Arabidopsis thaliana: one gene and its partners. The protein of the gene in region 1 interacts with the protein of each later gene in a pairwise test. Each region holds a gene or a part of one and is shown on either strand. Other genes may lie near its edges.

Region 1 (7,202 bases):
AATATGGTGCACTCATTTGTTATTAGATAAAATGTTTAGATTATAATTCAGAGTCATGTCATTAATAAAATTAATATTAATAAAATAAATGGCTTTTTGGCAAGACGGATTTGGAGGGACGGGTTTTTGAATCAACATTAATAAAAAAGTAAAATATAATTAATCCACAATTTCAATACGGATTAAATCTTTAATTTATTATATTTTAAGACCACTAATATTAAACATATCAAATCATCCTAATTTAGAAAAGGTTATATAAAACCAAAAATGTTATGTGGTATGTATAATGTTATTATATATAAAATTAAACTATAAAATATAAATGTATTAGAGAATGATACAATTTGCAAAACTTTTATATATAAAAAATAATTCTTAAATTTTAAAAATTACTATTTTTAAAAAAACCACGGGACGGGTAAAGAAATTACAGAACGGGTTTTATTTTGGAATTGGGTTATATGGTAGATGTATTTGAATCAATATTTATAAAATTTTGAAATATGTTTAATATGCTGTTTTAATAGGGGTTAAAACTTAAAAATTTTAACAATTGTCTCATGGATTCGTGGTATAGCGTTACTTAATAACAATTATAAACTGTAAAATATAAATATTTTATAAAATTAAAATTTACAAGTTTTAATATATATTACTTTCAAAAAATGAAGATGGAAAACTGGAGAAATAAATTTATTAGAGTGAATGATGATAAACTTTTTTTTTCCTGTTAATTGAAGATAAATCCTCACCACCTGTGGAGGAGTTCAAAACTAATCTCTGGGTAGATAAAGTTTTTTAAAAAATAGTTCACATGTAAATTTTTGTATAAATCACATATTTAATAGATTTAGCGTGGTACATTGATCATATACAACATTGAAGTATTAAAGTAACTATACTAGAGTAATATTAATTTTTGTACTCTTTTCTCGGAAGTGAGCTTGTTGTGTCTTATTTATCAATGGTTAATGTGCAAATTGCATCAGACTCTTATTAGTATTCTTATCAAATTTTCCAAATATCTATCTTCTCCAAAGTGGATAAAATAGTATCTTGCTTTTAATTTTAAAATACTGATATTAAGATATTATGCTTGAAAACATATGGTTTTAATGGGAAAGTGGCACAATTTTAGATTATATGTCACTCAGTGGCTCAAAAACAAACAAATGAAAAGTCATATAGCTCATCTGGGTGGTTTGTACCCATCAAACACTACTTTGTTATAAACGCTTTACAAGATATGTTATTGGGTAGAAAATCAAAATAAACATATCACAACAAGAGGTAAGACAAAACTCTTGGGAGCTTAATCACATTCACATACAGAAACTACTTATACTAAAATGCAAGCCATAGTTTTACTTTATTTTGCCAACTCCTAAATTAACTAATTCAATATGAGTGGAGACTTAAAAAAAAAAATGGCTAAAGAAAGTGAAACCAACCAACAAAGACAAGGCATAGTCTCTGAAAACACATGGAGACAAAATAGTAATCTTGAAAAATAAGCATTAGCGTTGATCGATTGAGAAATATGTAGAAACGTATCACAACATCGTTGGACAAAAGGCCAAAACTGTAGTAATTTGTAGGAATAAGTCATCATCATATAATTTGTTTAAAATGATTTTTAGTTGGATTGTTGGTTGTTGCAAACAAGTTGGCCTATTGATGAAGATTGAAGACCATTTCTCATTTATTATTATTATTTTTTTTTTTTTGTCATTCGTAACTTGCAAGTCTCACAACCACTAGTTTTTAATTAAAAAAATTATTCGCTTTTAAGGGAAAGTTTCATTGCCAATTCTCTTTGTAGGTCCATAAGACCATAACATAAAAATGTTATACATATACTATTCATGGAAAGATAAAACAACAACGACAACGTAGCATGTGAACAGAGGATGAATTCTCGTAAACGTTAGACGTAACGCACATGTAATATTTAACAATATACATATCTATATGTATATATGTTATAAATTGCATTTAAATTTTTTATATGGAAAGGAAAAATAAGAGCATAAAGCATTTCAATTATTAGAAATTTCTGGTTCCTGTTATCCTAAAAACCGATAATAATTATATGCATATGTCAAATCGCCCATCATTTTTCTTCCATAAACTCAAAAACTTCATAATTTATCACATTTTAATCACCGAAAAGTCCAAAACCGTTTTGAAACTAATTGTATTTTAAACACTATTTAGTACTATACTATTTTATTTTATCTTCTTAATAGAAAACAATCATTTGATCATTTGAAGAACACTAACATAAACCAAAGAACACGTACGAGAGAAAATAATTTTATAATCCTTGTAAGATCCAAAAAGGAGGAAATGAAATAGGAAATGTAAATATAAAAAAGAAGAGAAAATGCCCATTGGCTATTTCAATTTTTTCTCAATTACAAAAACATTATCAATGAATGAACAAAAAAAAGGGACACAATTATAGAGTCGAAACATAAAGAAAGAGTTATTGTACTATTTCATACTGGAGAATGCTTGTCTAATTTCTTGGCTTCATGATGGTTCTCATTTTCTTGTCCCAAAAGCGGCGTCGTATCTCTATCTTTCCCCTGTCAAAAAAGGAATAAAACCAAAGTACTTAGAAACTTTCAACACTCATTATTTCTATCTTTTCTTTTTGTGTGGTTAACGTACAAGAAAAGTGGAATCGGAGGAGGCTTGTTTGGATTTAGAAGCAACTGAGCAGAAGTAGGAGTAGAGAAGCATCCCGAGGACAGCGATGAGTATTCCTGCGATATTACGAGGAGTGAAGGGATCGTGAAGGAGAGTGTAACCAAATGCGAGCACCAAACACGTTTTGAGATGTCCCAAGACTTGGTATGTCACCGGAGATGTCTTTCCAATCACTAAAAACGTACTGAAGTTAACCGAAACCGCTATCAAACACGACAACGTTATGAACCCCTGCATGATTCATCATTGTCAAATTTCACAAAATTTTAGTATCTATCTAGGGACGTTATGATACAATCATGGCTCAACATGGGCACGGCTCTAAGGGGCCATGCGAAAATGGGCTGGACCGATCCAGGACAATGATTCTAATTCTATTTTAACACCAATTGGGAATAAATGGAATTAACGATGTAAAAAATTACCACGACGATGGGAGAGTAATGGAAGGAGAAAACATTGAGGCTAGTGAGGTATTTGTCGACAAAAGGACCCGAGACGAAGAGTATAGCAGCTTGGAACGGGGCTGATTGGTATAGGAGTTGTGTTGATGTCACGTTCAGTCTCTTCTGGATAGTGTTTGTTAGCTTCACCACAACATTTTCATAGTCATATTAATTATACTATGTATTAGTTATTAAACATTAGTTTAATGAAACTTAAAGCATACAATTTGGCCGACGCAAGTTGTGGCAATGGCAAGGAGAGATAGAACAGAGCCAACAAAATTGAGCTGAAGATCTGTGATTGATGCTATACCAACCCCAACTAGCAGCAAAAACAATGAGAATTTTATCTTCTGGCTGCAAAACCAAAATATGTCATTCAAAAAAAAGTTATTTATGTAAACAATAAAAATTAAAATAATCTTATGTATCAAGTTTGGTTCACCTGAACTTCTTGTTGAGGAAGAGGGTTTCTAAAAGAACAGTGAATGGTATGATAGCAAGTTTGGTCATCTGCCATTAGTTATGGACAAACATCAAATTGGTGAATCATATAATTGTTACATGATCAAAAGTATGTCGAAGATATATACTTGATAGAAGCCGATGGAATTAAAGCCGAGGCTGAGATTGAGGAGACCAATGGAAATGCCATTGAGGAGGCCAAAGAGAACAACAGTTCTCATGTCTATTGGTTTATTCTCAAAGAAGTTTAGTTTATATGCCACATGAAGTGTGCAATATGTTACCATCAAATGCCAACTAGTAAGTGTTGTTGCTGTAACAAAACCATAGCAAAAAAGCGATCAATCCTAAGACGAATAATCGGGTTTTTGATAAAGATCTTACAAAATATATTCTCACAAAGCAAAAAAAAAAAGTACTAGTAATTACCAAAAGGGAAACCAAGATTGGTCATCAAAGCTTTGTTGCAAATGACAATGGAGACAGAAGATGCAACTGATAGAAACAATGCTCCAATCACACCCATTTGCATACTCTTCATCTCTCCCATTTTTTCTTCCTCTCTCTCCTCTCAAATCTTCAAATCTATCAAATGAAGAGAGAGAAAGAGAGATATATATTGATGTGAGAAAAAGAGAAGGATTGTGAATGTGATGAGTGATGAAATGCAAAGGTGATATAATGAGATTTTTATTATTTGTTTGTATAAAAATGGTTGGTGTCTAACACCAAACTTCTGTTCTTCCTAATTTCATGTTTTAATAATTATGACATTTACATAATTACGCACAAGATACATGAGAAAAACTATAATGATGTTGCTTAATATTTGTTTTTCCTCATAAGAGACTTCTACTAATGATATGATAGCAAATTCTTAACCATAAAAAAGACTCTGAAATGAAACAGCCAATGGAGGGAGACATTGTATGGTTTTCTATGGACAAACAATTGACTTGAACTAAAAGCAAAAAGGAAGGTGAAACTGAATTTCTCATACTTTTTCTATTGGGCAAAATATTGTAAAATAGAAACTAAAATGAAAATTGAAATTATTTGGATTTGGTGTAAAGCTTCACACTCACTCCAAAGTCCATACCAATACCCTTCTCTTCTCCTTAATTTCTCTACCATTTACGTTACCTATTGAGAGCAAATATAAAATAGCCAATTTATGAAATTGGGTGAAATAGATAAATCATGAAACTGGTTATAAGTCTTGTTTTCTTATTGTCTTTTCAGAAGTCAAAAAGATTATGTAATAACAACCACTTCTATTACACCTTTGTTTTCTAAAGTTTTTTTTTTTTACATGTTTCACTTCTCTCTTGTTTAGTGAAAGCAATTTCTTTTTAAAAACATCTAAGAATTTGAAATGGAGAAAGTAACAAACAACATAATAAAGCTCAATCAAAATGTATAAATCTTACACAATATCAATAAAAAGGGCTTCACACATGTCCTATGAAAACCTAATTTAGTGTAAAATATTTGATATACAAAAGTAAAAGTTTTTTTAATATATTAATTATATAGAAAGAAAAAAGAAAAACAAATCTAATCTTTCACCATCTTCCCAAGATACTCTTTATCAGCATCAGCCAATCGGTTCTGAAACATTGTCCATTCCATTTTGCATCTATCTCTCACTCCTTGCCATGGAGCTTTCCCATTCTCTGACTTTCCTTGACTTCCAAGTGAAGGTATCACTTTATGTATTATCCATTGCGAATCCACAACACCAATCTTCTCATGAGCAGGCTGCAAAAGCAAAACACACAAATTTTCATCATCAGTCAAGAGAATATTGTGTTATTAAGGTAAGCAAGGGGGGGGCAAAAACAACTTACTTCAACGCATCTTCTAAGCGCAAAGTCGAGACCCCATCCATGAACCAGATCATTCTGCATCAGAAACATAAACAAACTGATCAAAACAACAAGCATTATTTTGATGGACTAAGACTAGGACTATGTATCTACAGATCGACGAACCTGAATCATATGCCACACACATCGCCATGCTTCTCGAGAAAATACAGGCGCCATTATTTCAACAAACCTGTGAGAGGGAATTTTTTTCAGAAAACTCAGTACTGACAATGACTAAACACTCTTGAGTTGCTCTAAAGAGAACGTTTCAAAGAGAGACTTACGCGGCACATGGAGGTAAATGTGGGTCTTTACACCATCCTGGTTTCTCTTTTGTATCTCTGTTCAACAGTAAGTAACAACACATTTCTTAATTCAGAACCAAATTTGAAAGAAAGGCAAAGAAGAATGGTTAGAGAAGGAGATCTTACTTATGGACTTCCCGGTCACCTCTCCTCTTTGTCATTTCCCATGTGAGTCCATTGTTAGGCTCTAAGCCTGGTTGAGAAATCTCTAAACCATGCTTCTTAACTAACTCAATGTACCTGAAGTTTTAATAGAATTCCATCACAAAATGTAAAATATAAGATTGTTCTGCTACTTCAGACAAGTAATAACTTACTTATCCGCATTGAAATGCTCCACTCCAAGATCTTCATCCCATATAAATATGTACTCATAAGCTGACACAACATCAGGATGCAAAAACCTCTTCGCGTACCACCTGCCAAAACCAGTAGAGAATTTCGATAAAAACATACTCGACAAACATACTTAATAACCGGTAAATGACCAGATGACTAACCATTTTGTTTGCTTTCTTGTACTAATATGAATCGCGCTCTTCGACCACTCAAATTGGTCCCATTCAGTTGTCCGGCCATCATAATGGAAGAGCAAAATTTGGAAATCTTCAGAAAACTGAAGATATGACAAGAAAACAAAAAATCTGAGTGTATCCACAAAGAATATATAAAACAATACTTGCTAAAACACATGCTGATATTGCAGAACCTTCTTAACAACTCCATTAATATGGTTCCTCTGCTCAAATCCAACTGTAAATGTCACAAGATATTTTGGCTTCTTCTTCAAATCCTGCAAAGGTTATTGTTTTGACATTAACTATTCTAATGGCCTTCAGAGATAAAACCATATATATTGAGAAAGTAAATATAGAATGAGAAGTCAATACTTCATTAGGTTCTCCCCATAATCTACGCAAGTAAAAATCAGTTTTCGCCACAACGATTCCTGGAGGTAGTAGTTCTGCACCACGCGGGTTAGTTGGAACATATATCTGCAATCAAACATACAGAAACGATACATTTCATCTGAAATGAGGCACTATTCTAGAACATAATCGAAAAGCTAACGAAAGGGAACCGAACAAGAAGTTTATTATATACCTCAGGAAACTTTCTTGAACCGAAATCTTCAGGGGATTTGTCACCAGATATGGCTACATCAAGAGATGATATAAGGCGCGAGGGTAAGTTAATCTGCAGGAATACGAAACAAAATTCAACAGGTGCAAAAATGAAAGGGACACATAAAAGGACCTATGAAAAACAAAACTCATACCTTAAACGAAAGTGAAGGTAATGTGATACCAATAAAAGTCCCAAACACTATCCCCAAAATAGTAGTAATAATAACCTTTGCATTTTCATTCGTTCTTCGAGGAGCACCACTGCAAAAC
Region 2 (8,105 bases), on another chromosome or scaffold:
CTGCCAGAATAATCGAATAAAATGTACTAAATACCAATCATTGAAGAAGGCAAGATTGCAGAGACTGAGATACCTATTCCTTGGATGACCTCCATAAACTATACTCCTCCTGACTTGAGATGAGAAAAAATAAAGATATGCAACTGCACAAGGAAATAGCAAAAGCTTTGTTAGTGTACAAAAAACAGCTTGTTAATAAGACAGAGCAAAGAAGATGGGGTAACCTTGAAGGAAACCAGGCATAAGGAGCATTGCATAACAAGCAAGAGCAAGTAATCTTGTGATCCACCGGTAACCTACCCTGAACAAAAACTTACAACAATAAAACAAAACTTTCCTTACAGAGATTCCGACAAAAAAATTGAAACATCATCACATGTCCTAAGATTATTAATTACCGGAAAACTCATTTAGTTATCATAAAACTGTGGTAAGAATAATTCATCGAGAAGACTAATTGTGAGCTCTAGAAACAGGACATGAGATACGTCTCGGCTAAAAACAAATAAACGATGCCATGAGAGGAATGAAATTTACCCGAGATATCCAAGAAGGTTGAAGCTAAGTCGAGTAATGAGATACGTCTCGGCAGCTGCATGGCCTATGTCGCGACCGAACGACTGCTGCCGGCAAATTCGAGGCGAACCGTCCTCAGAAGAATTCCCGGAGACTCTTCTACGAACATGTTCCGGTGAAGATAATCTGTTGGAGCCGTGAAGCAGCTCCATTTCCTCGGAATTCGCTGACCAAGCCTCTCTGTTTTCAGACATCGGACGGCATCGTTCCGGAGACAACTGCATCTCCGCCGTGAAAGTAGTCGGAGAAAGATTGGATCTCGAATTTTGTATCCTCCTCCTCCTATTCGTGTCTTGTGCTTTTATAATTGATCGGTTCTTGTTTTTTTTGTTTCAATTTTCAAATATTTGAAAAGCTTTCACTCATGTGCGGCTCTCTCTCTTTTTCACAGAGGAATGTCAAAACGACGTCGTATTCCGGTCCTCTTCTCTACCAATTTTTTTCCTTCCTAATGAGTATTATTAATGTGAATAAGTTACAGTATTCTGATTTGGTTTCTTTAATCTAGTAGTGATTACGTACTTTGAAGAGTTCTTTTTCTTATTTTGTGTATTAAACAGCAGTTTAAAGGGTCCCGCTCCATATATTAAATTGTGATTAGAATTGCGTTCGAACACAATACGCTATTGGTGGTTTGATGTCTCGACACTCGTATTTCGTATAGTTGTGCATAGACGCCACGTGGTATTGCTTGCTGGTACTAGACTTTGGGAACGTGTTCGGTGATTTAAGCGGTGGCACGCGCACCAATGAAGGGAATATGAATCAATGATTAAGATACCTTATTCCCAAATTTGGTTTATCTAAATAATACTCCTCTCCCCCCCCCAATGTACATTATTTTAGATTTCCTTTTTTCGAACAAAAACACTCATCCACATGTGTAAACGACTCACAACCAATCAACTATAATTTCTTTAAATAATCACCCTTTCAATATATAATAATTTTACACAATGAAACCGATTTTCTAGGGCCAGATGATATTTTAGATGATTTTTATTTTTGAGCAAAAGTTCTACAATCACTCATGGAATCAGATATTATAAAATTTAGAACATTTTCATCGGTAATTTCTCACATAATTTTTTATTGACTAAAAAATATAAAATAATAATAAAGTATGAGAGAGATAAGAGAGAGATTGAGAATTGTTTTTATGCAGAGAAATTTTAGAGTAATGATTGAGAGACTATATGTATATGTATGTGTTTATAATTGGACAGAAACTAAATCATAATAAAATATTATTATTATTATTTTTTTAGAAACTTTTGAAGTATCTCACCAATGAAAATGGCAAGGTGGAAACTGGAAAGGCAATTAGTCACATATAACTAAACTAGAAACCAAAAGTAATAAGAGATTTTTATTTCAGCGATAGCCAAAGGAAAACGTTAAAAGAGAAGAAGAATCTACTTTACGCTGAATATGAAATTAACATGGATTGTTGAAAGCTATTTAATCAATCTTCTGGTTTTTCAAAAGGGTTTCAAAAGTCACCTCTGCATTTTGTTTCTTTTTATCACCTGAACCACCATCTCTGAACGGCACTGACCGGAGTATTCAAGAAAGGAGCGTAACGTTGGATAATCGGAGTCACCGTCCTCCCTATTCTGCTCCACGTGCTCTGGTGGTAACCAGCTGTTACCGGTGCTTGATACATCAGCTTCAATAGCTGCCACCAAAATAACAAAACTCAGTTCATGAGAACAACTCTCAAGATCCAACCAACAATCCTGCAAACAACCTAGTAGATCTTTGTTTTAGGAAGAATATGAGGAAAAGGTTTTTGAACTTGACAGATTTTATAACAAGAACACAAGATTTTTAACCAAAAAAAAACAAAACACAGTTCTCATTACTATCCTGATGGTCTTAGCCCATGTAACACTTTCAGTGACAGAAGATCATCAAAGCAACAAAAAAGGTGTTATTACGGAAATGATTCTTCCTATATGTTCACTTGGATCAAATTAAACAAAGAAAACAGGGGTTCTACTTGGGAATGTTGAGCCATCACAAAGAACTGATGACTACAACCAAAAGATGATACGTACCTGCCAGTACATGAACGTCTGTATAATGTTACGTTGCCATCTGCAGTAAGTAAAATGACAATTTTGTTCAGATAAGTGAAACCAGCTAATGCAAAGCTGGGAACTTAGTGAGAATATAAACTTAAGTGCGAAAATAAACTATTATCGCTTCTAACAGGTTCAAAGAGCTTACGAGAGCAGAGAGATAATCAGAAGGAAGCCAATGGCTATCTCAGCCTGCGATGACAAGATGTTGAGGGTAGTAGTGTTTGACTCCACCCACACACAAGGGTCTTCCAAGTACTTTCTGATAACCATTACAGAACAAGACACATGTACAACATAAGCATCAGTAAGAATCCACACATGGAACCTACTACTACATTCAAACCTGCTAATCAGCTCGATGCACCTACCTGTATATAGTGGACCGACCAAAGTTACGCCTCAAGAACTTGGCTACTTGTTCAAGTGCCCGGCACAAGATGGGAATCAAAGCAACTGCAACAGATTGATAATGAGACTAGTCATAAGAATGTACGTGATTTGAAGACATTCACAAAAGAGTTTTCAATAAATTCTTACACTTGAGACAGAGATGTGAAGTGACGAATGTAAGGCAGTAGATGAAGTAGATGAAATCCTTTGCTGCCACAATTGATTGAAAATAAACTTGCAGCCCTTGCATATTCCATGCCCTTGGCCTCTGCAGATTATAAAATTACAATTCATAAGTAACAAAAATTTCGCATTGCATGATCACTAGAGAGAAAGAAAACATGAAATTCACATGGCGTACCCCGTATAAGGAGTATAAGGAATATAGAGATGAGCATGCAGTTCCCATGAAAGATAGACGATAAGCCCTATTTGAGAGGTTCTTTGGTATTAGAGGTAGCACTGCCAGCACAGCTATAACAAAAACCTGCAAAAATGTAATGGATTTAGAGACATGAAACGGGAGATAAGTTACGTGAAGCATTCCAGACAAAAAAGCATTTGTCACATCTAGTTCATGTCTAAGTACACAACAAAGATTCAGCAAGACAGGAGAACATAAAGACAGACAATACACTATGCACCATCTCATTACTGTCCGTGAAGTTAAGGAGTGAACAGCAGATTGCAACAACAATCCCAACTCACAGGGCTAACAAGAGCTAGATCTTTTTATTAAACTTGTGCAATAAGAGGAAGAAACTGCAACTGAAAAACTTTATCTTACCCAAGCATTGACTGAAAACTGAATCGTCTGCTCATCCCAGCGCATTGAACTTGGGGTTGCACCAGTCGTAGCAGATGGCCCAGAGGTTCGAGGAACCGATCCTGAGGCACACAATTAGGTAAGTTTTTGGTAGTAATAAGAAAAGCTCATTTGAGTTCAAGAATATATCAGACAAAGAAAGTTGACCTGAGTTCCGTGAACGAACTTGTTCATTTGCATTAGAAGATGCAGTTGAAGATGCAGATGTAGCAGTTGGCCTGGCAGATTGTGAAGACGAAGATGAAGTCGACATAGGCTCCACAACAAGATCAGGATCCTGCAAAAAAGAAGGACATGGCAAGCACCCTAGATTTAGAAACAAATCCAGATTACATCTTCATAGGGAAGAGCAAAGATGAACAACACGAAGGCTTCACATATTATAAACAGGACCTAACGAATATTCAATGAAAAGCCCTACCCTCCGCTTAATAACCTAATCACGAGGAGATTCGGACCCAAGGACTAAGCAATTTAGCAGAAAGAACATCAACAACCACACTTGTAAAACCTAAGATTCAAAGTCCACACTAAATCCCCAAATCAGTAGCGCACACAACACAAAGTCAAACTCGAAACTCAAAGTAATGAAGAAAATGGATAAGCAAATTCAAGAGTAGGGAAGATAGTAGTAAGTACGATGTAGCGTTGGTAGAATTTGCGCTTGAAATGGTCGACGACCTCGGGACGAGAAGCCATGTGAGGAGGGATGAGGATATTGGACCAGTAATCGGCCCATCGAGCGTCGTTTTCGTAGTCGAAGGCAGCCGCCGCAATTTTCTTCAACCGCTGGGAATCTTCGCCGCCTTCCGCCATGGATGAGATCGCCGGAGAGAGAGATTTGGATTCGACTTTTTTTGTATGGGTTTTGTTTCTTTGGTCCACTTTTCCTATACTTTACTTACTACTAGTATCTGTGGACTTTTGCAAGAGCGACGACGTTTTGGCAATCAGTTGTTTATGATATTTAATATAAAAATAACTACAACTTTGCAAAAGACTGGAAACTTTGAGGGTTTGTATGCAATTTATCCAAAGAAAGAAAATGAACAAAACAGAGCATTGGGAAAGAAACCCTAAATCGTGAGAACAGAGAAGGACTAGCGTGCGAAGAACAAGCAGAATATGACACAGTTATATCTAGCTCAATCACTGTTTTCAGCATTATGTTCTATCTTGTTAAAAGCTTTAAAAAGTCTTGTATTATTTGTCGTGTATAATGTTGTTTATCGTACAAGTTAACTGAACAGAGAGATTACTTAAATACAGACAGTCCACTATGCGTAAACTAAGTTATCATTAGCTGTTTCTATATCGTAGCATCTATAAAAAAACATCATCATCATTATCTTCACCAATATCAATCCAACGATCGAAACCTGAAAAGAATCAAAACTAAAAAGATGTCTGCCCTTCGGCTAAGAAACGCAAACACTCCGGCTCCGGAGCTCGACGAGTTATCCGATCAGACACCGTCAGAATCCCGGGTGCTCAAGAGACAGATGTCAATGTCTCAGCGAGCCATGTCAAACACCCTGACGTCAGCAGCCAATCTCTCAAACCTACTCCCAACGGGAACACTCCTCGCGTTTCAACTCCTAACGCCGGTTTTCACTTCAAACGGCGTTTGCGACCACGCAACGCGTTTCCTAACCGCCGTTCTCCTTTTCCTCTTAGCCGCGTCTTGCTTCGTCAGCTCCTTTACCGATAGCGTTAAAGCCGACGATGGAACTATCTACTTCGGTTTCGTAACGTTCAAAGGCATGTGGGTCGTTGACTATCCTGACCCGTCCGGGTTAGGTTTACCCGATTTAGCCAAATATCGGATGCGGTTCGTTGATTGGATCCACGCTACGTTGTCGGTTTTAGTGTTTGGAGCGGTTGCGTTGAGAGACAAGTATATAACTGATTGCTTTTATCCGTCGCCGGAGGCAGAGACGAAACATGTCTTGGACATTGTTCCGGTGGGTGTTGGGGTTATGTGTAGCCTTTTGTTTATGGTTTTTCCGGCGAGACGCCACGGAATTGGATATCTTGTTACCGGTAGCGTAGATCGCCGATGATTTATAATTAAAACCAATTTAGAAACGGTAGCGTTTGCATGGTGGGTTGACTATTTTCGTTTGTTTTCTTGTTTGTAAAGTTGTATAATTTGTATATATACGTTATGACCATTATTCTTTTTATTAAACTAATAAATTTTAATTTTGTGTCAAATATATATAATTTTCCTAATTCAAATAGACTTTATTTATTTGAATTCTAAAATCATTGCATGGACTTTTTGATGTAAAATACATTAATGTATGTACGGTTGACATGTTACTTGGAAAACGTTGACTATTTTACTTCATTTGTACCATAAACTTATATTAGATCCATATCATTAAATATTCAATGTGTTAATTAAGATCTGAAATTACTTAAAAGCTTATATCTGATTATGAAAACCGTGCCAAAAAGGGAAGAGATCTTTCTAAATACCACATCGTAACCAAACATACTCGTATATAATTACAAATGAACAAAAAGGGTTTAACTGAGAAAATTTAGATTCTACGTACTAGTATTTTAATCTCTTTAAATCTCTATTTTTCAACATGTCTAGTAAAAAATCGTTCCATGAATCAATTGGACCTGGCAAACACCAATGTACACAATCATTATACAAGATAACTTTATCTTCTCGTTTATGTCCGAATCTGCTCGGATGTCCATCTGGTCTTAACAACATCATCTGTGTGACATCTAGTAATCTCAAATTTAATCCGTCATTTCTGTTTTTGTCTCTGTTTGCAATGCGAAATTCATCGAGTTGAATGCTGTGTGTCTCTAGATTCATACCATCTAACTCTGTCTCATTGCTCCTATATAAACACAAAAGAAACCCAAAGGAATATATAGACGTTTCTATTAGGATGTGACGAATGAAAACTCAAACAACAACAAAAAAAACACAAAACTCATAATATTAAAGTATTCTAGAAGAAACTAATATTTTAGAAAATGTCGGATGAACAATGTATACCTATATGGTCGCGTTTTCAAGCAATTTCCACCTTTGTCCCATTCTCCACCTTCGAAATGTGAAGGAGCAAATGTCCTCAGAAACACTTCTCCTTTAAAATTCTCTAATCCAAGAATTGTCTTGAATGTTGTTCTCAATGCTCTTCTATACGCGAAATGTGCCCCGACATTTCTGACTCCGGGAATGTAGCAATACAAACATCCTATCCTTTTTTGTTTGTCGAAAAGGAAGAGTGGTCGGAAAAACCATTGTCCAGATGAGATGATTATGTAATCGAACTCACCGATTTGGGAAGCCCAAGTAGGGTCAGGTTCGTCGAGGTAGAGATTGTAGAATGAATTAGGACCTGTCGGACCGGTTTCCGTTTCTTCAGCGCGAACCAAATGTGTTGTCCAAAATGTGGCGATCGTGAAGTTGTACGTTTTGTATTTCCATCGTTGGAAATTAAACTCCTGTTGTGAGTCACCCTCAGGATGTTCCACCTGAAATTAATATCTAAACCAAGGTTACTTTTGCATCAAGTAATGTATTAAACGAGTAAGTATTGTCATAAAATAAATAAAAAAGTTGGATAAGCATTGAGAGAATTGGTACCCGAGAGAGTAGGCAGATCAAAGACTGAACGTGGTTTCTGCTAACGGAGTCACCAACGAACGCCATTCTTGTTCCTCTAACTATTTCCAGAAACTCGTAAGGATCAAACAGAGGGAGATCACATTCTTTAGGTTTCCATCTCCATTTCATGAAACCTAAATCAGGTCTTCCATACTTGATGCAGTTTTGGTGTTCGTGTATCGCCCTGCATGTCGTGTTTGTGTAGTACGGGGCTTTAGGGTTTGGGATCCACTCGCCGGAGAATATATCGCATTTACGTTTTCTCTTTTTCCGGCGGTGCTCTTTCTTAGGAGTTACTTGATGATGACCATTCGATGATGAGATGGATAGACGATCATTGTTATGCAAAGATGATGACTTGGGATCATGATATGTGTCGTCGTAATCATTATCATACGACGATGGTTCTGAATCTTCTGTCTTATAACTATCTGATGATGATGATGAATGGTTATACCTAGATGGAGAAGATATTGCCGACGACGATGATGAATTCGATAAATGTTTGTATGTTGATGTTGAATAATAGAGAGGATAACCAAAAAAGAGATAAAGGATTGGAGCTATCGTAAGTAGAATAAGA
Region 3 (8,167 bases), about 12 Mb from region 1:
ATACGCTCCAAGTGCGACTTTAAGCAGAAATTTGATTATAGAACTCCAGTCAGAGTTTTGCCCCATAGCCATCTTTAAGAATAACTGGAAAACAACAATCGCCGTCCTGGAATTGTTGTTAAAAATCATGAAGAGTGAGCATAAATGTCAAAACTAACCAAACCATGACAGAAGATAACGTCATTTACCCATCATTCATCAGGGATTCCCCTTCAATTATGGTGCTTAGCTTCTTACTAGCACCAAGCTCCTTTAGCAAAGCAACAACAGCAACCGGATCAGTAGCACTTAAAAGTCCCCCAAGCAACAAGGACGTTTTCCAGTCCCATTCATACGGAAACGTGACCTGCATATAGCAAGTATAGTTTCATAACATAATAATCGATTTGTCTTTCTTTGTTTTCAGGACAGCTACTTAATACCAACCAGGCTAATTCATACCTTCACAAGCGATCCAAGACAAGCTGTTGAAATAAGAACTCCAGGGACAGCAAGTAACACCATTTGTCCCAGACACCTCTAAAGAATCATGCAAGTATTCAGTACCTATTTCTCTTAACCTTTAAGCTTAACTAGGAATTAGAGCCAGAGGAATAAACCTTAATTTGGTGAACTTCCATTGAAAACGAACTCTCGAAAAGAAGAGCCGGAAGAAAAACAGCTAAAAGAAGTTCTGGATCGATCTCATTCCCTGCACAATAACATTGATTCTATAGTTCTTACAAAGCCAGCCATGGAAGAGAAGAAAAATTCGAAACTAAAAACTTACAGATACGAATTCCATGGCCGATCTTTCCAAGGTTATGTTTAGCTCCATATTCTGAAACACCAAACAACATGAATTAGCAATTAAGCATGATTACGTTGACTTCAAGGATTAAAACAGATGAAGAAATCAGAAATTCCATGGAACGAAATCGAACCGAGAGATCCAAGAGCAATTCCGATAACGAGAAGAGCGACAGTGTAAGGAACCCTAGTTCCACGAAGCAAGTGCCTAGAAGCAATACCGAGTACCAGAGACATTCCGACGAAGAGAACGGCGTCGACAGGGCTAGATTCTAGTTTGGAAGAAGAAGAAGAAGAAGACGAATCGGTCGCTTCCTCCAGAAATCTATACGCCATCGTCGCGTCGATTACAGTCGTCATTTTATTTGAATATATCTAAGAAGCAACAACACAGAGGAAGAAGAAGAATGCTCGTTCACTGAAAAAATAAATAGCTGAAAGAGAGTAAATACTTATAGAGCTATACATACACACGTGTATAGTACTGTAGTGTTAAATTAAAATTAAATTTTACTATTAATTTTGTTTATGATAACATTATCATATTTTTCTGCTATATATTTTTCACAATTTTCAGCCGACCAATTCTTCAATGTTTATATTTTTTCTGACCAAGAGTATATTAGAACCAGAATTAGATAAATTAATGGAAATATAATGATGACAAAAAAATAATATAAATATAATATATAGTTTGTTTTGGATTTTATAGATTGATGTCATATAGATGTGAATGTGACTATGGTATCTTCACAATGAAATTAGTGCTTAATTTGTGTACAAGAATTTATTGAAATTGAGTTTATTTGTAATAAGTATTCCAAAACCTGGTTTGGCCTTAAAAGGAAAAGAAATATTCGTAGTTGGTTTTTTGACATTTTGGGACATATTTTTCTTATGATTTAATTGATAAGACCTCTTACTGTTGTACTTTTTTGAATAAACAATTGCAAATGTAAATTGGCTATTTTAGAATTAGACGACTAGCCTACCAAAAATACATTTATAATGTGGATTTTGATATGTGTGTGAGTGTGTTTACTTCGTGGAGTTTGATGTGTTTAAGGTTTCGAAAATATTTGAGAATTTGGATTAGCCTGACTCTATTCGGCTGATCCAAAACATTAATCTGATACCTTTCAATTCTTCACGTTAAATTTATAATATTTTTTAAACTTTCAATTATGCTTAGCTGATGCACAACAACATTTTCAATTTCGCATATCAGAATAACACCAATTATCATTTTCATGCTACCCAGAAGCACCTACAAGGTATCAAGTGTGCATGTTAAAAGACTGTTTGGGTTAGTATTGATTAATCGACCAACCGTCGATCCTAATGAAATGCTCAAAGATAGAATCCAACATAAAGAATCTCTATTGGTATTCAAGATTTGCTTATAGAGTAGTGATTGTTAGTTAGTTAGTTTGTTATTCTTTGATTTTCCAATCAGCTTACGAAGATTTTTCAAGAGTAGAGATGCTAACAACATGCATAATAATTTGTCTAATGGTAAATTCTACAATAGGAAAAGAGTTTACATTGATTACTCTATCATTAGTAGTTCAGGGGATAGTAGATGTTTGTTTTGTTCTAAGGCTTATGTTTATGCTCTGGAAAACTGGTTCCAGGCGAGAAGATTCAGAGAGAACTCGTTGATGGATTACATATCATGGTCGCTGATGAGTGTATGATTCGCCACCACCATCAAAGAAGGTGCAAAATCAATAAGTATCAGAGCTGTTACAAAAATAAACTTTATAAATAAATAAAATTATTGTCTGTGTAATTAACATCTTAATTTTATAGTGTTCTTATTTATCTGGTTTGGTTGCAAAAAATTGAGTTTAGTTAAGATAATCAGGTATATAAATTACTACATCATTCATTTTATGTACAAAAAATTTGGTTTATATTCCAATTGATAATACTTTTTACTTGCTTTGCTTTAATCAATTTCATAAACGAGATACTATTGTGAAAAAAAAAAACGAGGCACTATTGATCTTTTTTCTTTTGACCACCTTTTTATTTGTATCTTCATCATCATGATTTTGTTAAAGAGTAAAAAGAACATTACTGATTGTTATAGTCACATGGAATGCAATAAAACTCCTATAAATAGTAGAAAGCACAAGAACGAGAGAATCACTCTACCAATAGAAAATTGCTACTTATTAAAAAAAAAACGACAATTGTAACAAAAAATATCGATTATAGAAAGTTTTATTTGCTTCAGTTTATATCACTTGCCTCTGCCATTCACAAGTTTCTTACGAAACGTATTAAATAATTTAAAATTTTGTGAATTAATACGAATTTTGTTTAGAAGATTTAAGAAAACAACCAAAAATAAAATATATAAAAATAATCATTTCAATTTCTAAAAAAAATATTAAAATGTCGCAGATTTTATTTTCTTACATAATGCTTTTTATTCGCAATATTTTTTCTTAAGCATTTAGTAGAAGAAAATTCGTTAAAAAGAGAGATAAAATAAATAAAAGTAATATAATCGTCCTTTTGCCATAAGCGTTGCTCTCAAAAATATAAAGCAAACTCAGATCTCACGATTTTCTTCTTCCTCTCACATTAACACACATCATCATGAGATTACCAACGACGCTGCTCCTCTTTATCGGAGCTCTCATCTTCTCCGGCGCCGGTACTGTCAGATCCGATGCCTCCGACCACCGTTACAAGGACGGTGACTCCGTTCCTCTCTACGCCAACAAGGTCGGCCCCTTTCACAATCCCAGGTAAATCCAATTCTCTAATCTCAGTTCCTTTGTCGGTAGCTTAGATCTGTGATTCTCTTTGATGAGTGATAAATTGATCGTTGCAAATTTCTGTAGAAGCTTGCGTTGGTATTGAATTTTTGTATCTGACCTTGAAAAAATTCGATTCGTGTTCTTAAAATGTGATAGATCTTCGATTGCATTGTTATATGACTGATTTTTACTTGTGTTTGATGATTGTTGCAGTGAGACGTATCGCTATTTCGATCTCCCCTTTTGTATTCCAGGTACGAGCACGCTCAATGTTGTCTCTGTTATGTGTGGTTTTTCACTTTTTTCGGATTTGTGTATTTTGGTGTCAATATGCATTTGTTTTGGTTTGTGTAGAGGGTGTGAAAGATAAGAAGGAAGCTCTTGGTGAGGTTTTGAATGGGGATAGGCTTGTTAGTGCTCCATACAAGCTTAACTTTAGAGATGAGAAAGACTCAGAGGTGTACTGTAAAAAGAAGCTTAGTAGAGAAGAAGTTGAACACTTTCGAAGAGCTGTTGAAAAAGATTATTACTTTCAGATGTATTATGATGATTTGCCTATTTGGGGATTCATTGGGAAGGTGGACAAAGAGAGCAAATCTGATCCTAGCGAGTTTAAATATTTTCTCTACAAACACATCCAGTTTGAGATTTTGTACAATAAGGATCGGGTGATTGAAATCAATGCTAGAATGGATCCTCATTCGCTTGTGGATCTTACTGAGGATAAGGAAGTCGATGCTGAGTTTATGTACACTGTGAAGTGGAAGGAAACTGAGACTTCTTTTGAGAAAAGAATGGATAAGTATGCTATGTCTTCTTCTCTTCCACATCACTTGGAAATCCACTGGTTCTCCATTATTAACTCCTGCGTCACTGTCCTTCTTTTGACTGGTTTCCTTGCAACCATCCTGATGCGGGTCCTCAAGAATGATTTCATGAAGTAAGTTTTGAATGCTAACTCTTTGTGCTTGACTCACCGATGCACACTTTTGTTTCCAACCATTAACTTTTCCCCTAACTTTCAAAGGTATGCTCAAGATGAGGAAGCTGCTGATGATCAAGAGGAAACCGGATGGAAATACATTCATGGAGATGTCTTCCGGTTCCCAAAGAACAAATCTCTCTTTGCTGCATCTCTTGGTAGCGGTACCCAGTTGTTCACTCTGTAAGTCTCTTTTCAGCCTCCTTCGTTTATCTTTAGTTATTCTTTGCCATTACTAACTGTAATATACCTCATATGTCATCAGGACCATCTTCATTTTCATGCTTTCACTTGTTGGAGTGTTCTATCCATACAACCGTGGAGCACTCTTCACTGCTTTGGTCGTTATCTATGCTCTCACATCTGGAATTGCCGGATACACTGCCTCCTCTTTCTACTGTCAACTCGAAGGAAAGAATTGGGTATGTAAACCCTTTCCCTTTACTCTTTTCAACTTAAAGTGATAAGCTTTTCATTTCTCACCGTTCTTCCTCTTCAGGTGAGAAATTTGCTGCTAACTGGAGGTCTCTTCTGTGGCCCACTATTTCTCACCTTCTGCTTCCTAAACACCGTTGCAATCGCATACAGTGCAACTGCCGCTCTTCCCTTTGGAACCATCATAGTGATCGTCCTCATATGGACACTAGTCACTTCGCCTTTACTTGTGTTGGGTGGTATTGCCGGTAAAAACAGCAAAGCTGAGTTCCAAGCTCCAGTCCGCACCACTAAGTATCCTCGGGAGATCCCGCCACTCCCATGGTACAGGAGTGCTGTACCGCAGATGGCCATGGCTGGATTTCTTCCTTTCAGTGCCATCTACATCGAGCTATATTACATCTTTGCCAGTGTTTGGGGCCATCGTATCTATACCATTTACAGCATCCTCTTCATCGTCTTCATCATCCTGTTGATCGTCACTGCTTTTATAACAGTTGCCCTTACTTACTTCCAACTCGCTGCTGAAGATCATGAATGGTGGTGGAGGTAAATTTTTCCACCCAAGCTGGTTTTTTAATTCGGTTTTTGGTATATGGAATATAGAAAACCAAATGATAATACCAAATACAAATAGCTTAGAATTGCTATGGTTTGTGTTTCGTTTTAGTATCAGTTTCAAACTGATTACTTACGTAGGGTTTCAGTTTGGCTTGATTAGGCACATCTACTAAATCCTTCCGTAGATTTTAAATTCGAATTTGAATTGGATTGGTGATAATAAAATTACATTGTTATAGTTATTAATATTCTTTGTTGCAGATCATTCCTATGTGGTGGATCGACTGGTCTGTTTATATATGCGTACTGCTTATACTACTACTACGCAAGATCAGACATGTCTGGTTTCATGCAAACATCCTTCTTCTTCGGGTACATGGCTTGCATTTGTTACGGTTTCTTCCTCATGCTTGGAACCGTTGGCTTCCGCGCTGCTCTCCTCTTCGTCCGCCACATTTACCGGTCGATTAAATGCGAGTAAAACTGTTGCTGCCAATCACCCTCCCCCTTACGATTTTTGGTAGAACAAAGAAGATGATAATCTGTTCTTAGGTAGATAAAGAAGAAGACTTCTTCGAAGCCAGAAACTGAATACCAAATCGCTCTGTGGTCACATTTTTTTTCCTTTTTGTTAAAATGTTTTGTGGCAGTTTGTTTTCTGTGATATGATTTATAGACGAAACTATGTTTGTTTAGGTGAAGTCTTTCTCTTCTCTACTACTTTAGAGAGTTATCTTCTTTTTTTGGTAATTAATTAAGATAACTTTGTAACCTTTTTTTTATTGATCTATATATATTCTAAAGACGAAAAAATAACAACTCTCTTGAACCAAATCGCTAATCTATTCGATCAAAATCATCTATGAATTTGTGATCTATCTAAACAAAGAGGTGAGGGAAGATAAGAAAACACCGAACTGCCACCATTTGCGCAGCCTTGGAGACTTAATGATCCTAACCTGACAAGTCATACAATCATAGTACAACACACTTAACTCGTGTCTCCACATATCGTAATAATCCTTTATGTCTGCATTGCCACCGTAACGATCATAGATCATTGCCGTTTCCAAAGGTGGTCCTTCACGATTTCTTGTAACCCACAATGTTGCATTGACCGTCTCTAGTTTGCAATTCCCTGGCCGATTGCAGCATCCAGTCTAACACAACAAACAACAAGAACAAAAGATTATGACTTTTTTAAAAATATATCAAGAAAAGATTTTCTCTTTCGTCATATCTTATTAGGATTTAGTGGTATTAAATCTTGCATATCACGGCTTCAAATATTTAAAACAAATTAATATATGTACTTTAAATAAACTAATTTTTCAAAATCTTAATTGGATAAATAAAAAGATTTTTTTGGAACAAAAACCAACAATACTTTTAAAAACTACTACGGGTGTATTCAAATTAGAATTTAAAGTGATTTGAATTTTGTTGAGTTTTTAAATGATTTTGATAATTTTAGGGAAGTCTATATAATTTTTGTAAAATCCATTCAAATCTCACCTTAAACCATATGATTTGGATTTCTATATTTTTAACTAAAGAAATCCTCTCGAATCCTCCAAAATTATTAAAATTCAAATCCACAAATTGTTTACAATAACAACGATATAAAAATCAAACTAAAATACTAAAAAAAAAAATAGGCATATCTAAATAAAATCTAAATCCCAACCAAAATTGTAACAAGTTGATACCTATATTAGATTTGATATATATCTAAGTAATAAATAATAATTATTCTAAAAAAAAAAGAGTAATTGATTCGTAAGTACCTTAACAGATGGTAACAATCTTCTATCATACGGTGGCAAGGCATAGCTGTTGACAAACCGCAAGTGAACTCTTTGCAAGCGTCCTTGACTTTGTTCTATCTTAACCACTTGATATTGTTCTGTTTTACGTTCTCCTTGTCCATTATTATATTCTCCCTTGAAACACATTGGTGTCGGAGAAAACCGCCGGCTTTCCATCTTGTACACACCGGAGTAAGCAAAACCTATGAAGAAGACAATAACTAGGAAGTAGCTGAGCCGTCGTGGTCGGAGAAACATACCGATGTTGCTAAGGAGGAACAAGGCGAGGAGAGAGACGCTGACGAGTGTTTGTACACGTGGTAACGTACTTTGGAAGTCGCGGTAGTAAACGTGGTCGTTACGCATGCAGAAGAGATACAAGGCGTGGCCGACAAGAGGAGCCGAGAGGAAGAAAGTGATGATCGGAAAGAAGATTCCGGCGACTAGATTCCATGGCTTATGGCTTTGTGACTTCATTATTGGAGAGCTTCAAGGACAGATTTGATTTTCGTATGATCAAATCTCCTATACGAGTATTTATCCCCACAAAAATATCCTTTTGTAGGAGTTACTTACGCAATCAAGTGTTGACATGTGGCAAATTCACCTCAAAACTAGGCATGGGCTAACAAACCGAACCGAATGTACCTAACCGAATCCGAAACAAAATTAACCGAACCGAACCGAAAAGTGAAAAATAACCGAATGGATACTAAATTTATAACCGAAAGAACCGAAACCGAATGGATAATAACCGAAATATTTCGGGTAACCGAAAATATCCGAAATATAAATATATTTTCAAAATATTAGTTATT

The links.
Region 2: the proteins of AT2G28315 (region 1) and AT3G02420 interact in a protein complementation assay, tested with the Arabidopsis thaliana proteins (one large-scale study listed by BioGRID).
Region 3: the proteins of AT2G28315 (region 1) and AT2G01970 interact in a protein complementation assay, tested with the Arabidopsis thaliana proteins (one large-scale study listed by BioGRID).

Annotation. Positions count from the first base shown.
Region 1 is NC_003071.7:12,085,873-12,093,074, reverse strand, and holds AT2G28315 (Nucleotide/sugar transporter family protein), read right to left. Parts: upstream 4,409-7,202; 5' UTR 4,180-4,408; coding exon 4,059-4,179; intron 3,943-4,058; coding exon 3,758-3,942; intron 3,678-3,757; coding exon 3,610-3,677; intron 3,522-3,609; coding exon 3,389-3,521; intron 3,306-3,388; coding exon 3,144-3,305; intron 2,950-3,143; coding exon 2,680-2,949; coding exon of another isoform or gene 2,671-2,679; exon of another isoform or gene 2,595-2,670; coding exon 2,505-2,594; 3' UTR 2,310-2,504; downstream 1-2,309. Other genes in the region: AT2G28310 (trimethylguanosine synthase (DUF707)), read right to left, coding at 5,187-5,390, 5,480-5,533, 5,624-5,690, 5,785-5,841, 5,932-6,045, 6,123-6,224, 6,306-6,421, 6,515-6,598 and 3 more. UniProt on the Arabidopsis thaliana protein: Nucleotide-sugar transporter that transports UDP-xylose and UMP in a strict counter-exchange mode.
Region 2 is NC_003074.8:494,078-502,182, forward strand, and holds AT3G02420 (dihydroflavonol 4-reductase/flavanone protein), read right to left. Parts: upstream 4,888-8,105; 5' UTR 4,696-4,887; coding exon 4,519-4,695; exon of another isoform or gene 4,301-4,518; intron 4,157-4,300; coding exon 4,027-4,156; intron 3,942-4,026; coding exon 3,841-3,941; intron 3,541-3,840; coding exon 3,415-3,540; intron 3,322-3,414; coding exon 3,201-3,321; intron 3,117-3,200; coding exon 3,032-3,116; intron 2,923-3,031; coding exon 2,809-2,922; intron 2,677-2,808; coding exon 2,637-2,676; intron 2,255-2,636; coding exon 2,102-2,254; 3' UTR 1,807-2,101; downstream 1-1,806. Other genes in the region: ICME-LIKE2 (alpha/beta-Hydrolases superfamily protein), read right to left, coding at 74-143, 225-301, 538-800; AT3G02430 (transmembrane protein, putative (DUF679)), read left to right, coding at 5,283-5,942; TBL20 (TRICHOME BIREFRINGENCE-LIKE 20), read right to left, coding at 6,443-6,746, 6,908-7,389, 7,502-8,105.
Region 3 is NC_003071.7:450,052-458,218, reverse strand, and holds AT2G01970 (Endomembrane protein 70 protein family), read left to right. Parts: upstream 1-3,259; 5' UTR 3,260-3,399; coding exon 3,400-3,551; intron 3,552-3,776; coding exon 3,777-3,817; intron 3,818-3,917; coding exon 3,918-4,503; intron 4,504-4,590; coding exon 4,591-4,728; intron 4,729-4,810; coding exon 4,811-4,967; intron 4,968-5,044; coding exon 5,045-5,529; intron 5,530-5,802; coding exon 5,803-6,022; 3' UTR 6,023-6,361; downstream 6,362-8,167. Other genes in the region: SOS1 (sodium proton exchanger, putative (NHX7) (SOS1)), read right to left, coding at 5-106, 189-346, 442-519, 600-691, 770-820, 924-1,149; TET14 (tetraspanin14), read right to left, coding at 6,417-6,701, 7,329-7,826.